Linked DNA regions of Callithrix jacchus. Each later gene encodes a partner of the first gene's protein in a complex. Links are inferred from orthologs where the notes say so. Each region holds a gene or a part of one and is shown on either strand. Other genes may lie near its edges.

Region 1 (7,081 bases):
GATACCATCCAGATATCTAGAAGTCCATACCTTGCTTGTTAGCAGGTAATGCAGCTGGTGACTTCAAGTTGAGGCCAGTGCTCATTTACCATTCTGAAAATCCTAGGGTCCTTAAGAATTATTCTAAATCTGCTCTGCTTGTGCTGTATATGGAACAACAAAGCCTGACAATACAACTATTTACAGCATCGTCTACTGAATATTTTAAGCCCACTGGTGAGGCCTACTGCTCAGAAAAAAGATGCCTTTCAAAATATATGCTTGTAGACAATGTACCTGCTCATCCAAGAGCTCTGATGGACATGTACAAGGAAATTGAGGGTTTTTTTTGAGATGGAGTGTCACTCTGTCACCCAGGCTGGAGTGCAGTGGGACAATCTCAGCTTACTACAACCTCTGCCTCCCAGCCTCCCAGGTTCAAACAGTTCTCCTGCCTCAACCTCCTGAGTAGCTGGGATTACAGGCACATGCCAACAGGCCCAGCTAATTTTAAGTAGAGATGGGGTCTCACCATGTTAGCCAGGCTGGTCTCAAACTCCTGACCTCAGGTGATCTGCCTGCCTCGGCCTCTCAGAGTTCTGGGATTATAGGCATGAGCCAATGCGCCCAGCCTAGACTGAGGTTACTTTCATGTCTGCTAACATAGCATCCATGCGGTAGCCCATGGATCAAGAAGTAATTTTGACTTGTGAGTCTTATTATTTAAGAAATTCATTTCATAAGGCTATAGTTGCCATACATAGTATTCCTGTGATGGATCTGAGCAAAGGTAAATTGAAAACCTTCTGGAAAGGATTCATCATTTTATAAGAACATTCATGTAGCCAGGCGCGGTGGCTTACGCCTGTAATCTCAGCACTTTGGGAGGCCGAGACCGGCAGATCACCTGAGGTTGGGAGTTCAAGACCCAGCCTGACCAACATGGAGAAAGACCATCTCTACTAAAAATACAAAATCAGCCAGGCATGGTGTATATGCCTGTAATCCCAGCTACTTGGGGGGCTGAGGCCAGAGAATTGCTTGAACTCAGGAGGCAGAGGTTGCAGTGAGCTGAGATTGCGCCATTGCACTCCAGCTTGGGCATCACAAGCGTAACTCTGTCTCCAAAAAAAAAAAAAAAAAAAAAAAAAAGAACATTCATGTCCTTTGGCAGCACATATACTAAAATTGGAATGACAGACAATTAATTAGCATGGCCCCTGTACAGGGATGATAGTCAAATTCATGAAGCATTCCATATATTTTTTTAAAACATTCATGATTCATAAGAGGATATCAAAATATTGCCATTTACAACAGTTTGGAAGAAGCTACTTCCAGCCGTCATAGGTAACTTTGAGATGTTCAAATAGTTTAGTGGAGGAAGTAACTGCAGATGTTGGTAGAAATAGCAAGAGAACTAGAACTAGAAGTGGAGCCTGAAGATGGGAATGAATTGCTGCCATCTCATGAGAAAACTTGAATGGATGAATAGTTGCTTCTTATGGATAGGCAAAGAAAGTAGTTTCTCGAACTGGAATCTACTGGTAAAGAGGCAGTGAACATGGTTGAAATTACAACAGGATTTAGAATATTCTATGAATTTAGTTGACAAAGCAACAGCAGGATTTCAGAGCATTGACTCTAGCTTTGAAAGCAGTTCCATGGTTAAACTGCTATACAGCATTGCATGCTACAAAGAAATCTTTTGTAAAAAGAAGTCAGTCAGTGGGCAAACTATTGTTAGCTTAAGAGGCCGCTGCAGCTGCTCAGTCCTCAGCAGCCATAACCCTCATCTGTCGGCAGCCATTAACATCAAGGCAAGATCTACCAGCGAAAAAATTGCAGTTCACTAAAAGTTCAGATGATTTTTAGCATATTTTAGCAATAGAGTATTTTTAAATTAAGGTATATACATTGGTTTTTTTGCTAGCCATTATGCTGTTGCACTCCTAATAGACAACAGTGTAGTGTTAAGTATAACTTTCATATTTTCTGGGAAATCAGAAAATTCGTGTGACTCACTTTATTGCAATATTGGTGGTCTGGAATCGAACCTGCAATATCAAGGTATTTCTATGCTTAGGTGAAAGGATTGAGGCTGTCTGTTCGTTCTAACCAAACACCAGTCATTTACTTGTTGATACAGCCATTCAACATGTATTATTGGATTCAGCGGTCAACAATATCGGGAACACTATCCTTACTGTCTCAACCGGAAGATGATCAAACAAGCAATATTATAATAACTTAATCAAGAAAGCAGTATTTGCTGTGTGACACCTTGGCGAGAGTCCTGTGATAATTAATGAGTTATACACTGTTTTTGTTAGAGCAGGTCCCCTGTGTTAGTTTGCAAGTGACAAAATTCTGCTCCAGCCAACTTAGGCAGATTGGGGATTTAGTACCCATTGAGCTGGAGGTCTTTGGAAGCAGAGCTGTGCCTTTGTGTGAAGCCTTAACTTTTTCTCGATTGCAGAATACCAGCAGGGGCCCTTATACAGACCCCAAGGAGACCGTGGATAAAATCCATGAGCTTGTGAACTTCAGTGGGAGTGGTGGGGAAATCACTTGTTTTTGTTTTTGTTTTTTTTTTTACTAACCTCTACTAACATTTAGCATTTCTTCCTTTTATAAATGTAGAGAACAGATACAATGTTAACAGTACTTGTGTCTGGTGACCAATAAAAATCAGTTATTTTCATATCACATTGTAAATGTATATATCTCAAAATATTATTTTGTTCATCCCTGCTTCAAAATGATAACCATTATTAGACCTGCACCAAGGTCTTCTTATTGTATGAATGCAGAAGCACATTTGTCGTAATTTTGCTTTTTGAACAGTTTGATAACTGGATTTCATTATGGTTTCTGTTTCTTTTGTTAGTAATTTGAGTATTTTCAGTGTTAAGGTATTCTGAGATAAGATCTAAATGCATAGGGTCACCTGCTGTAGAAAAGATTGGGACTCCTTACTTGATGACAGTAAAAGATGTGATACTGTGAAAAAAAAAGATTGGGAACCCCTGCTTTTATGTTCTTCTGAGGTACCACACTATGTGTCCACTTCTGTTTCTTGCTACAATGCAGTTGTTTTCCCTCCATTTTTCCTTTCATCTGCTCAGACTACCTGCAGAGACTCAACTCCAGCCAATGTACTGCCACTCAAAATCCAAGGAGTTCTAGTTGGTGGGGTTTTTTTCCCAGCTACATTCATGTGTGGGTCAAGGCAGATGGTTTTTTGTTGTTGTTGTTGTTGTTTTTTGGTGGGGCGAGGGCAGGTGGTGGTTGGGGACAGAGTCTTGCTCTGCTGCCCAGGCAGGAGTACAGTGGCACGATCTCAGCTCATTGCAAACTCCACCTCCCAGGTTCAAGCAATTCTCCTGCTTCAGCCTCCTGAGTAGCTGGGACTACAGGTGTGCACCACCATGCCCAGCTAGCTTTTGTATTTTTAGTAGAGACAGAGTTTTGCCATGTTGGCCAGCCTGGTCTCAAACTCCTGACTTCAAATGATCCACCTGCCTTGGCCTCCCAAAGTGCTGGGATTACAGGCATGAACCATTGTTCCCAGCCCTCTGATTCATTTTAATTTTAATTTTTTTTTTTTTGAGACGGAGTTTCGCTGTTGTTACCCAGACTGGAGTGCAATGGCAGGATCTCGGCTCACCGCAACCTCCGCCTCTTGGGTTCAAGCAATTCTGCCTCAGCCTCCCGAGTAGCTGAGACTACAGGCGCACACCACCATGCCCAGCTAATTTTTGTATTTTTAGTAGAGACGAGATTTCACCTTGTTGACCAGGATGGTCTCGATCTCTTGACCTTGTGATCCACCTGCCTCGGCCTCCCAAAGTGCCGGGATTATAGGCGTGAGCCACTGCGCCCGGCCTGATTCATTTTTAATAACTGAAAGTCAAGGAGAGGGGACAACAAAATGTAAAAATTAGGATAGATATCATCTTTGGCTAAACAGTAACAGACACATTGGTTGAAAAAGTTTTGGAAGTAAATAATATTCTTGTTAACCTGGCACATAAGCTCTTAATAAACACTTTTTGATTATTTCTATTTCTTTTTCTTTTAAACAGAAATCATGTTGTTGATGTCAGTGTTGCAGTCAGTACCCCTGCAGGACTCATCACCCCTATTGTGTTTAATGCACATACGAAAGGACTGGAAACCATTGCTAATGATGTTATTTCTTTAGCAAGCAAAGCAAGAGAGGGTAAACTGCAGCCACACGAATTCCAGGTACAGTATTAATTATTGCTTTCTAATTACATTATTTTTAAGGTTTGCATAATGCATTTATTGCATTTTTCACCTTTTGATTCTGCCACATAATTATTTTTATTTTTTAATTTTTTGAGACAGCGTCTAACTCTTGTCATCTAGGCTGGAGTGCAGTGGTGTAATCTCGGCTCACTGCAACCTCCACCTCCCAGGTTCAAGTAATTCTCCTGCCTCAGCCTCCTGAGTAGCTGGGATTACAGGCACATGCCACCACACCTGGCTAATTTTTTTGTGTGTTTATTTTTAGCAGAGATGGGGTTTTGATCTGAAGAGAAACCAGAGTATTCATAGAAATAGGGTTTCACTGTGTTGGCCAGGCTGGTCTTGAACTCCTGACCTCAAATGATCCACCCACCTCAGCCTCCCAAAATGCTGGGATTACAGGTGTGGGCCACCACGCCTGGCCTGCCGTGTAATTCTTACTGACACACGGTTCTGAAAATAAAATCTCAAACTCTATTGCATATACAAAAGGAGACATTGTCTGATAATAAGACATTTTCCAGGTGACTTTTTTGTTCATATTGTAATGCTTGTATATTTTCAGTACTGTGTATCCCATTCAGGCCTTTCCTAAGACCTTGCACCTTTTTAGCTTAAAGTCTTTTCACAGAACATTTGTCATGTTTTCTGATTTATGTTGACAAACAGTGTAATCTATTTTTAATATTTTTTCCTCTAGGGCGGCACTTTTACGATCTCCAATCTAGGAATGTTTGGAATTAAGAATTTCTCTGCTATTATTAACCCACCTCAAGCATGTATTTTGGCAATTGGTGCTTCAGAGGATAAACTGGTTCCAGCAGATAATGAAAAAGGGTAAGTGCCAAACTGGAGGGGAAGTCATAAGCTAATTTTCATTACATTATACACTTGTCCTGTGGCATCTTCAGGATTGGCTCTAGGAACCCTCAAATACCACAGTTCACAATGCGTAAGTCCCTGACATCAGATGATGTAGTGTTTGCATATAACCTACACATCCTTCTGTATACTTTAATCTCTGCATATCATACAACACTGAATAGCACTTCATTCATGTGGATCCTCTAGTACCCAGGATGCAGCAAATTCAAGGTTTGCTTACTGGAAATTTGTGGAATTGTTTACTTTTCAGAAATTTGGGTCCATGGTCAGTTTATGGATTTGGAACCCATGGATAGATATATGGAGGGCCAACCATACCTATTTTTGAGTATCAGTGTTTTTGTTTGTTTGTTTGAGATGGAGTCTCAATCACTCTGTCACCCAGATGGGAGTGCAGTGGTGCCATCTCAGCTCACTGCAATCTCCACCTCCCAGGTTTAAGAAATTCTCTGGCCTCAGCCTCCTGAATAGTTGGGATTACAGGCATGCACTACCATGCTTTGGCTAATTTTTGTATTTTAGTAGACATGGGGTGGGGTTTCACCACGTTGGCCAGGCTGATCTTGAACTCCTGACCTCAAGTGATCTGCTCGCCTTGGCTTCCCAAACTGCTGGGATAACAGGAATGAGCCACCGTGCCCAGCCAGAGTTTCATTTTTTGAGGTGGAAAGCCTTTATCCTAGGTGAGGAGTCAGCATGCTTTTTCTTAGTCGTAAGTAAGTATTTTAGGCTTTCTGAGACATATGGCCTCTGTTGCATTGTCATGTGAAAGAAGGCATAAACAATACATAAATGAATTGCAGTAAACCTTTACTTATAAAAACTTAGAGGGCAGGATTTGGCTCATTGCCCACCTATACTGCAGGTATATGGTCTGTTTCTTCAAGCTATTAATTTGAGCTAAAGGTATAGGAGACTGGAAGAGTAGATACGAAATATTGCCTGGTTGGGATTTGAAGGTAAGAGTGAGCATTTGGGTGGTTACTGGCTGAAATGCAGTCTTTTCTTTCAGAATATCTAAAATGTTTTTATCTTTTTCCAGGTTCGATGTGGCTAGCATGATGTCTGTTACACTCAGTTGTGATCACCGGGTGGTGGATGGAGCAGTTGGAGCCCAGTGGCTTGCTGAGTTTAGAAAGTACCTTGAAAAACCTATCACCATGTTGTTGTAACTAACTCAAGAATTTCTAAACTCTCCCAGGTCACACTCATTCATTCTTATCAAGATATTTATATGTTATTAAACAGGTGGTTTTTATTTTAAAGTTAAGCAGTTATTTTTATTATTGAGTCTGTCCAGATAAGTTATTTATAATGGGCATTACTGAATTTTTAAAATGCCAATTACACCCAAATATTGTGCACATTTAATAATCAGACACCAGATTTTTAGCTGTATACTCCTAGTTAAGGGACATGTGGACTTGCCTAGCCCTTTGGTGATAAGTACATCTACTAGGAAATGTAGGATAGGTAGGATTGTGGTTCCCTAAAGACAAGTACATAAAGGTAACCTGGGTGAAACCTTGAAGTTCTGAAACTTAATTTCCTAAAATGTTCTCCTTAAGATGTGAGAGAAAGAGAAATCAGGAAAATTAGTTCTCTTGGAGGAAGGGCTTGAATTGAAGCTTTACTTTAGAATTTAACCTTGGTTTAAAATTTTCCATTACATGATCTTTGTTTACCATGAATGGGAAGGGTAGAAAACTTCAAGGAAAATAAGTGAAATTTTAAGAGTCAACATTTTCTTAGAGGTCTTCAGCTGATTGTTTATTTTTCTATAACCTGTACATGGTTGTTTCCCCCCTTGAGATAATGATCTAAATATAAACAAGCTACCTGATATGAGAATTTGTGTGATTTATTTAAACAAATGTGTAATTTTGAGTACAGAATTCAACTGTTACCTCCAAAAAAGAAACATTTTTAATAGAATTTAACA
Region 2 (7,640 bases), on another chromosome or scaffold:
TGGTCAGGTATTTTGTAGGACCCCAGTTATTTTACAAACTAATCTCTGAAGTGAGATCTTATCACTTCTGGCCACTTTTTTTTTTTAATATAGCCTACGGCAGGCACCCTGTATTCCTAGACAGTCTCCCATCCAAGTGCTATCAAGGCCCGACCCTGCTTAGCTTCTGAGATCAGATGAGATCGGGCGCGTTCAGGGCGATATGGCCGTAGATCTGGCCACACACTTCTTTGTTAGAAGCTTTAGCTAAGTCTAACTCACACTCAAACCGAGAGGAATTAAGCTCCATCTCTTGAGGAGTATCAAAGAATTTGTGGCCATATCTTTAAAACCCCCATTGCTTGCTAAAACATAGATCTGCTTCAGTAGGGCTGCAGGGGGTCTAAGAGTTTGCATTTATCTCCCTTCCTGCCTTCCTTCTCTCTCTCTCTCTCTCTCTCTCTCTTGCATGCGTGCATTTTCTTTCCTTTTTTTTTTTGTACACCGGGTCTCACTTTGTCACCCAGGCTGGTGTGCAGTGGTGCAATCTTGGCTCACTGCAGCCTCCACCTCCTGAGCTGAAGCAATCCTCCCATCTCAGCCCCCCCCAAGTAGTTGGGACTACAGGAGTGCACTACCATGCCCTGCTAATATTTTTGTATTTTTAGTAGAGACGAGTTTTGCCATATTGCCTAGGCTGGTCTCCAACTTCTGAGCTCAAGCAACCCGTTGGCCTCTGCCTCCCAGAACGCTAGGATTAGACAGGCATGAGCCACTGCACCTGGCCCGAGTTTGCATTTCGAACAAGTTCTCACGTGATGCTGCTGCCGCAGGTCTAGGGATTTCACTTTTGAGAGCCACAGCAAGTGGGGTCTGCACAAGACCTTGGTGTGTACAAGGAGTTGAAAAGACGTCATCAAGATCTATTTATCAACACACTGGTTTCACTTCTGGACTCTGCAAGTTATCATGAAACTATTAGGTAAAAATATATGCATTGCTGTATACAAGAGGTGCAATACCTTGTATTTATATTAGATATGATTAATTTGATTTGACTGTCACAAATGCCAGGGAGAGAAATCAGGTATCTTAATCTGACACAAAAATAACTGCAACACAGTCTAGGTGACTGTAGCCTTGTTTAAGCACATTTTACATTATATCGGGTTCTTTCATATTGTTCCCAACTTCTAGAACTTTGTCACATTTTGAAGAAGCAGAAATAAAATTAGGCACACAAAAGTTTAAATAAATCAACAGAATGGATTTTAAGTAGCATTTTGTGCAGTGGAAAAGGAAGAAGTGAAACAAGTGATTTGGAAGCTCAGAAAGATCAGCCCTTTGTTGCTTAGGCTGAGAAAATCTCCCTCTCCACAAATATCCAGCTTCTTCCTGCTCACCAACAACTGTCACCAATTACTGCTCCACTTCCAGGTAGCACCTGAGAGTCACTTTGGACACCATAGGCCACTGGTCTTCTCTTCGTCCTGCCCATGCACACAACTGGATTGCTTAGTTCTTCTGGTAATACTCCTGGTTAAAGAAGTTGTTAGTATGTCTTTTTTTTATCCTTTGGTTCGATTTGAATGGAAAAGACATGGTAGTCTCCATACCACTGCCAAGATGACCAATATGTTCTTGAAAATCCAGAAGTCTAGAAGACCACTGGATGTCTTTTACCATGTATGTTACTTTTCTTTAAATTCAGAGTAGACATGCAACTATTTTATTAAGCAAAGAACTGGCTGCATAAACATCCAATGAGGGCACAAAAGCTAAATAGCTACCCACCAATAATCTCATTCAGTGAGAAACCAGTCCAAGTAAAGACCCATGGAGTGGCTTCCAGTCACATTTGTACCTTGCCTTAAAGAACGTTCTTCCCGTCCTCTTAATTATGTATGTTTATGTTTACATATTGCCAAAAAAAAAAAAAAAGCCAAGGTTTGGTGGAAATGGCTAAAGCAAGCAGTACTTTATTCATTCATAATAGGAAATAACAATTTCATATATTGAGTCCTGAGGTTTTTTTTTTTTTTTTTTAGAGGCGGGTCTGGGTATGTTGCCTAGGCAGATCTTGAACTTCTGGGCTCAAGTGATCCTCCCACCTCCGCCTGCAGAGTCGTTGGGACTATAGGTGCATGCCACCATGCCAGGCTCTCAAGTTTACTTGAGAATACCCAACACTGTGTAAGCATAGACTCCTGTCCAAAAGTGGTAGTGAATTGTGAAGCAGTCAGGGAGCTGTCCTATGGTGTTGGTGGTAGAGAAGAGGTATGAAAGAGAGTGTCGGTGAGCTTATTTGATTCTTTCCAATGGTAGTAGTGGGGCTGGGGGGCATCAAACAGAATCAGTGACCTTGCAGTTATATTGTCCAGTGACATTGGGGGTGTATGGGGGGTGTTAGTGACCCTTGATCTCACAATGGATCCCGTCCAATGGTGGTGGGGAGGGGACATGAAACGCAACCAGTGACTTATCTTGTGTGGGAAGAAGGGGCAAGGAACCAGGAAACAAGAGAATCAGGGACCTAACAATCCCGTCCAAAGGTGTTCTCTCGGGAGTGAGGTGGGGGTGGAGCTGGGGGGCCCATGTCATAAGAGTCAGTGAAATGACAATTAAGGCTGTCCAATGGTAGGAAGCGGTCAGAAAATAGAACCTGTGAGGTTTCATTAAATTCTGTCCAAAAGTGGCAGTAGTGATGGAGGGCATAAAACAGTCTAGTTAGGCTGTAAAATCTAAGTGGCAAGATGCAGTGAACATCTGGAACTGCAAGTCCTCCTCCCAGAAAAGGCGCCTGCGGTTGAGAAGGCTTTTGAGCAGCACGGAGGATCGAATTCCTGGCTCCCGGCCTCTTCCCAGTCCGCGGGCACCTCGGCTACCTTTTAGGCAGCGGAGAACCCTGTCAGGGGCGGAGCCGAAAGCGGCTACACTTGCTGGGCTGGGCTGGGCTGGGCTGGGCTGAGCCCCAAGAGCCAGGGCGGGGGGCTAGGGCGCCGCGCCGCACTCCGCAACAACATAAAAAAACGTCACAGAGGCGGTGGCGGCCAATCAGTGTAGGGCGCGCGCGGCCGCGTGCCCCTCGCGCTCCACGCAGCCCCTCGCGCGCCGCGTACGTGCAACAAAAGGCTCCGCCTAACGAGGCGGAGCTTAGGGAAGCGGCGGGCGGCCGGTGGCGGTCCGGGAGCTGCTGCTGCTTCTGCGGCGGCTGCACCGGCGGTGCCGAGGCCGAGACGGAGGCCGGGGTGCGGGCTTAGCGAACGTGCGAGGTCCTGGCGGCTCGGCTGCGCCAGCCCTTGCGGCTACTCGAGCGTCTCGGCGGGTCTGTGAGCCGCCCCGGCGAGGATGCGGCTGTTCCGGTGGCTGCTGAAGCAGCCGGTGCCCAAGCAGATCGAGCGCTACTCGCGCTTTTCGCCGTCGCCGCTCTCCATCAAACAGTTCCTGGACTTCGGTGAGTACGGGGCCAAGGGTCCCCATGGGCCCGGGGCTGCCGCCATTCGGGCTGCCACCCTGGGTCTCCGCGGCTTTGGGGTAAAGCCCGTGGGAATCGCAGGCAGGGCTAGGGGATATCCGGGGAGGGGGGGCTCTCCTGGGGTTCGGATTTCGGGGCGCGGAGGGGCAGGGCCTGGCACCCTCACACCGAGCCTGGGACTTACCGGAGACACAGAAACCGCGTCTCGTTGCAGGACCCTCATCGCTGGCGAGACTCCCCAAACCTACCATCGTTAACTTCAAATCTCCTTGACACTAAACCTCACAGCCCTTAAAACTTCAGAACGAGATGTGGGTGGCTTTTCAATGTTTTTATGTTTAGATTTTTCTTTTTTGGCTGGGTAAGAACTGTTTAGAAATACCTTGAGGTTGAATAGACTATGCAGTGGCATTTTGTTCCTTTTCTGGTCTAAAGTGTTACAGTGTGGCCAGAGTGGCAGGACTCGAACTGTTGCCTTCATAAGGTTACGTTAAAGCAATTAGAGGCCTGGACTGCACACGCGGTAGATGCTTGGGAAGAGCGGACGCGTGGGTTCCTAGCATCAGCAGGGTCTAATACAACTCTGGTTTCAGTGCCAACACCTTTCGTTTCTCTTCTCACTTGGTGTCCCACCCCATTCTTCCTGTCCGGTGGGCTGGTGGGCGGCTTTCACGGATTATCCGGGCTCCCAGCCTGCCTCAGGCCTAGCTGAGATGGGAATAGATTCCACACCTTCTGTTAACTGGATCACGTTTCCTCAGAAAACCAAGGAGCTGGTTGTGAAACACTTAAAAGTAAAACGCATGCATTGAGGTATGAGAATAGAACTCAGCATCCCTGAAGGAAAATCAAATCCAGCAGCCAAGATGTTCTACGCTCTTGAGGGGAAATAGTGGGCTATCTGTTAATGAATTTTATGTAAACGTCAAAGGTGTCAGTGATAGTGTAGTTGGCCATAAAAACTAAAGTGCAGAGTAGGTAGAACATTTGAGGAAGACCTGATATGCAAAAAGTGATCTCCATACTTTTATTATTTTTTTAAGCGAGGTTAGCAAGAGAGGAATAGGTTAAAGTTGAGACCAAATGAAAATTTTAGAAACCTCTTTGCCAGAGGATGATGATGAAAGTCAAAGTTCAATGAGATGTTGATCTTTGCATCTTAAAACTTCACTCCCAAAAGCTATTGGTAGTTTTACTTACCATCTTGAGAATTATAGAGGTTTGAGGCAGTTTCTGACTTTAGAGTTTAGAAAATGTTGCTGTTGATATAAATATAGGCAAGTTTTCCATCTTTAATTTATGGTTTAGGGAAGATTCTGAAGGTATCAGCCTTTCATTAACATAAAGTGACACAGGGTAATTCACAATAAAAGGAACAAAAGGAATCCAGAAACTCCTAGTTCCTTCCACTCTCAAAGTTTTAAGTGATAGGTCCAGTAGCTGGCCAAAATTTTGGTAAGTTAAATTTCCATAGCAGCTAGTGTCTACCCAGGGTAATAGGTATCTTGGCAAGGATGTTGAGTGAGTAGGAAAACCACAGGGGGGATAGTATTAGTATGGAAAACCTGTGGGGCCAGTATCTGGAAACAAATGTTCTATCCTGGCTCTGCCACTAATTCAGAACGTGGCCTTGAGTAAGTGACCAAACGTCACTTGGAGCTCATTTTCCTCATTAATAAAACGTGTAGACTGTATCAGGCGATCTTTAAAAGCACAGTTCACAACTATACAATTGTGATTTCAAAGGAAAAGGCATGAGGTTTCTTAAAGAAAACTACCAAATCTTTTGATAGCTATTTCCCATAAAAGTCTTCTGACCTATTTTGAGAGGGGCGGAGGGATTCACTAAGGTCATGAGAGAAGCATAATAATTTAATGTTTTCCTTATAAGGAAGTGCACAGAAGTGCTAGATTTCATTGTAGTGGAATTTGCTAGAAATGACAAGGCTAGCTTGTAACACCCAGAGATGAATCAGGTGCTAACCAGCCTATCTTTAATGACAGGACAACTAAAAGAAGGAAGTTGTCGCAAAAAGGCCATCTCTACTTCTACTTTTCTCTTAGTTCTGTCTCTTGATAGCAGTTCTATTTTGGCAAGTGATGTGGGAGTTGGAGAATTCAGAATGGGTGTTGGATATTTTTAAGGTGAGGAGAGAGGAGGAGTGAAGAGGCTTCATGTCCCTGTATGATTGGAGAAAACTGCGGGAGAGGGCCAACTCGGATGCTGAAAGCACCAAGTAGCAGGCAGTGGATAAGCATGAGATGAGGACTGTGACAAATTCCTGGTATATGGCTAGCTCCAAAGGGGCAGCTGATTGGCACCAATTCAGGATATTTTAAGAGAACTTTGGCATAAACAAAATACACAGATGGATCAAGTTGGGCCACAGGCTGCTAATTTATGAACTTTATGCCTTTCTCCATGGGTACTTTACAAATGGGACATACATTTCGACTATAGTAACTAGACAGGGACCAGAGAAAGAAGATACGCAGGATGTACATAGTTTGCTACAACCTTGGTAAATAGCTTTCTTAATGTGAGTGTATGGCACATCAGTAAAGAAGGAGATTATTTCCTATATTTAAAAGTGGCAGCTCAAACTGGTGGTTACTTCAGAAGCAGCAATTTTATTTTAAAGCAGGGGTTCCCAAACCTCAGCACTCTTGCCATTTCAGGCCAGGTAATTTTGGTAGGAGCAGTCTTGTACACTGTGGGAAGTTGAGCTACATTCCTGGCCTCTCCCCACTAGATGCCATGAACACTTCCCACTCCAAGTTGTGACAACCAAACATGTCTTCAGTCATTGACAAATGTCCCCTGGGGGAGCAAAATGTCCTCTGGACTTCTGTTGAACCGCTGTTTGGAAGTGTTTACATGAGTGGTTTTCAGGCCAGGGCCTCATACCCGGAATTTTTGTTGTAAATGGTCTGGGGGTGCTGGGGGTGGAGTGCGGAGCATTGGTATTTTTAGGAGAGCCCTGTGTCATTCTAAAGCATATCCAGGGTTAGGCACCATTCATCAGATGATCTTCTGTCTGATCTACTGGTCCCCTTTCATCTATGTGCAGTATTTCTCTATGCCTTTTAAAATAATGAAAGTTTCTTGAACTCCATCTTGACTTGAAATATAGCCTGCCACATAGTTAGCAAATATAGCAAGAATAACAAGTATTCTAAATGGTTTTTAAATTTATAATGGCAATAGTACTTTGCAAAGGATGGCGTTTTTTAAAATGAGATTTTCTTTGGGGCCTAAGATTACAGTCACATGGTTCCAAATTCAGAAGATGCAAAAGGACTTTTCTGTAAAAGCCTGCTTCCCACTTCTGCCTACTGGCCTCCCTTCTTTTGCTTAAATGGCAGTTTATACCTTTGTCTGTACCTTGTTTTTTGAGGTTAATACCTTAGAGAGACCTTTCTATATCTGTACCCGCATAACTTTGTTTTTCTTTTTTATGGCTTCTGAGAATTTGGTTATATGAATGTACCAGAATTTATTAGCCAACTCTCCTTATTGATGTCTAGTTAATAGGTTGTTTCCAGTCTTTGCTATGACAACCTTCCCTCCAGTGAATTATTGTCTGCATTGTAATTTCATGCATGTCCGGGTGTATATATAGGACAGATTCCTAAATGTGGGACTGCTGCGTCAACAGGTATGTGCATTTGTAATTTTGACAAACATTGTCAAATTGCTTTCCATAAACATTGTCTGTTTTCCCTCTTGCTTGAAGTTTCTGAGAGTCCCTATTTTCCTACGCCTTTACCACATTATTGTCAAACTTTTGATAGGTGAAAAAATGGTATATCTAGATAGAAGATGTCTTTATTTTAGTTTTTATTATAGAAATTTAAAAAAAACGTAGGCAGTTGCCTTTAATTCAGTGCTTTGAGAGGACAAGGCAGAGGATGGCTTGAGACTAGGAGTTTGAGACCAGCCTGGGCAATATAGCGAGATCCTGTTGCTACAAAATAAAAAAATTAGCCGGGAGTGGTGTTGGCACACACCTGGGTCCTAGCTACTCGGGAGGCTGAGGCAGGAGGATGGCTCGAGCCCAGATTGAAGCTGCAGTGAGCTGTGTTTGTGCCACTGCACTCCAGCCTGGGGGATGTACATGCATAGGTAAATACATCCATAAATTTTATTGTGTATTATTAAGGTATACAGCATGATGTTATGGGA

What was found. The genes of interacting proteins can lie anywhere in the genome.
Region 2: the proteins of DLAT (region 1) and PDK3 are in contact, whole or in part, in a crystal structure (PDB 1Y8N), measured with the Homo sapiens proteins. The link is inferred for Callithrix jacchus from reciprocal best matches to the Homo sapiens genes DLAT and PDK3. Residues at the interface, in NP_001922.2 of Homo sapiens: Ala225, Leu226, Ser227, Pro228, Thr229, Glu248, Gly249, Lys259, Ala260, Ile262, Glu265; in NP_005382.1 of Homo sapiens: Arg21, Phe22, Ser23, Pro24, Ser25, Pro26, Leu27, Phe48, Lys51, Val55, Asn373, Lys374, Ser375, Arg378.

What each region holds. Positions count from the first base shown.
Region 1 is NC_133511.1:11,759,023-11,766,103, forward strand, and holds part of DLAT (dihydrolipoyllysine-residue acetyltransferase component of pyruvate dehydrogenase complex, mitochondrial), read left to right. Parts: intron 1-1,141; exon of another isoform or gene 1,142-1,244; intron 1,245-4,067; coding exon 4,068-4,230; intron 4,231-4,954; coding exon 4,955-5,091; intron 5,092-6,181; coding exon 6,182-6,311; 3' UTR 6,312-7,081.
Region 2 is NC_133524.1:25,191,954-25,199,593, forward strand, and holds the start of PDK3 (pyruvate dehydrogenase kinase, isozyme 3), read left to right. Parts: upstream 1-3,134; 5' UTR 3,135-3,327; coding exon 3,328-3,433; intron 3,434-7,640. UniProt on the Homo sapiens protein: Inhibits pyruvate dehydrogenase activity by phosphorylation of the E1 subunit PDHA1, and thereby regulates glucose metabolism and aerobic respiration. Can also phosphorylate PDHA2.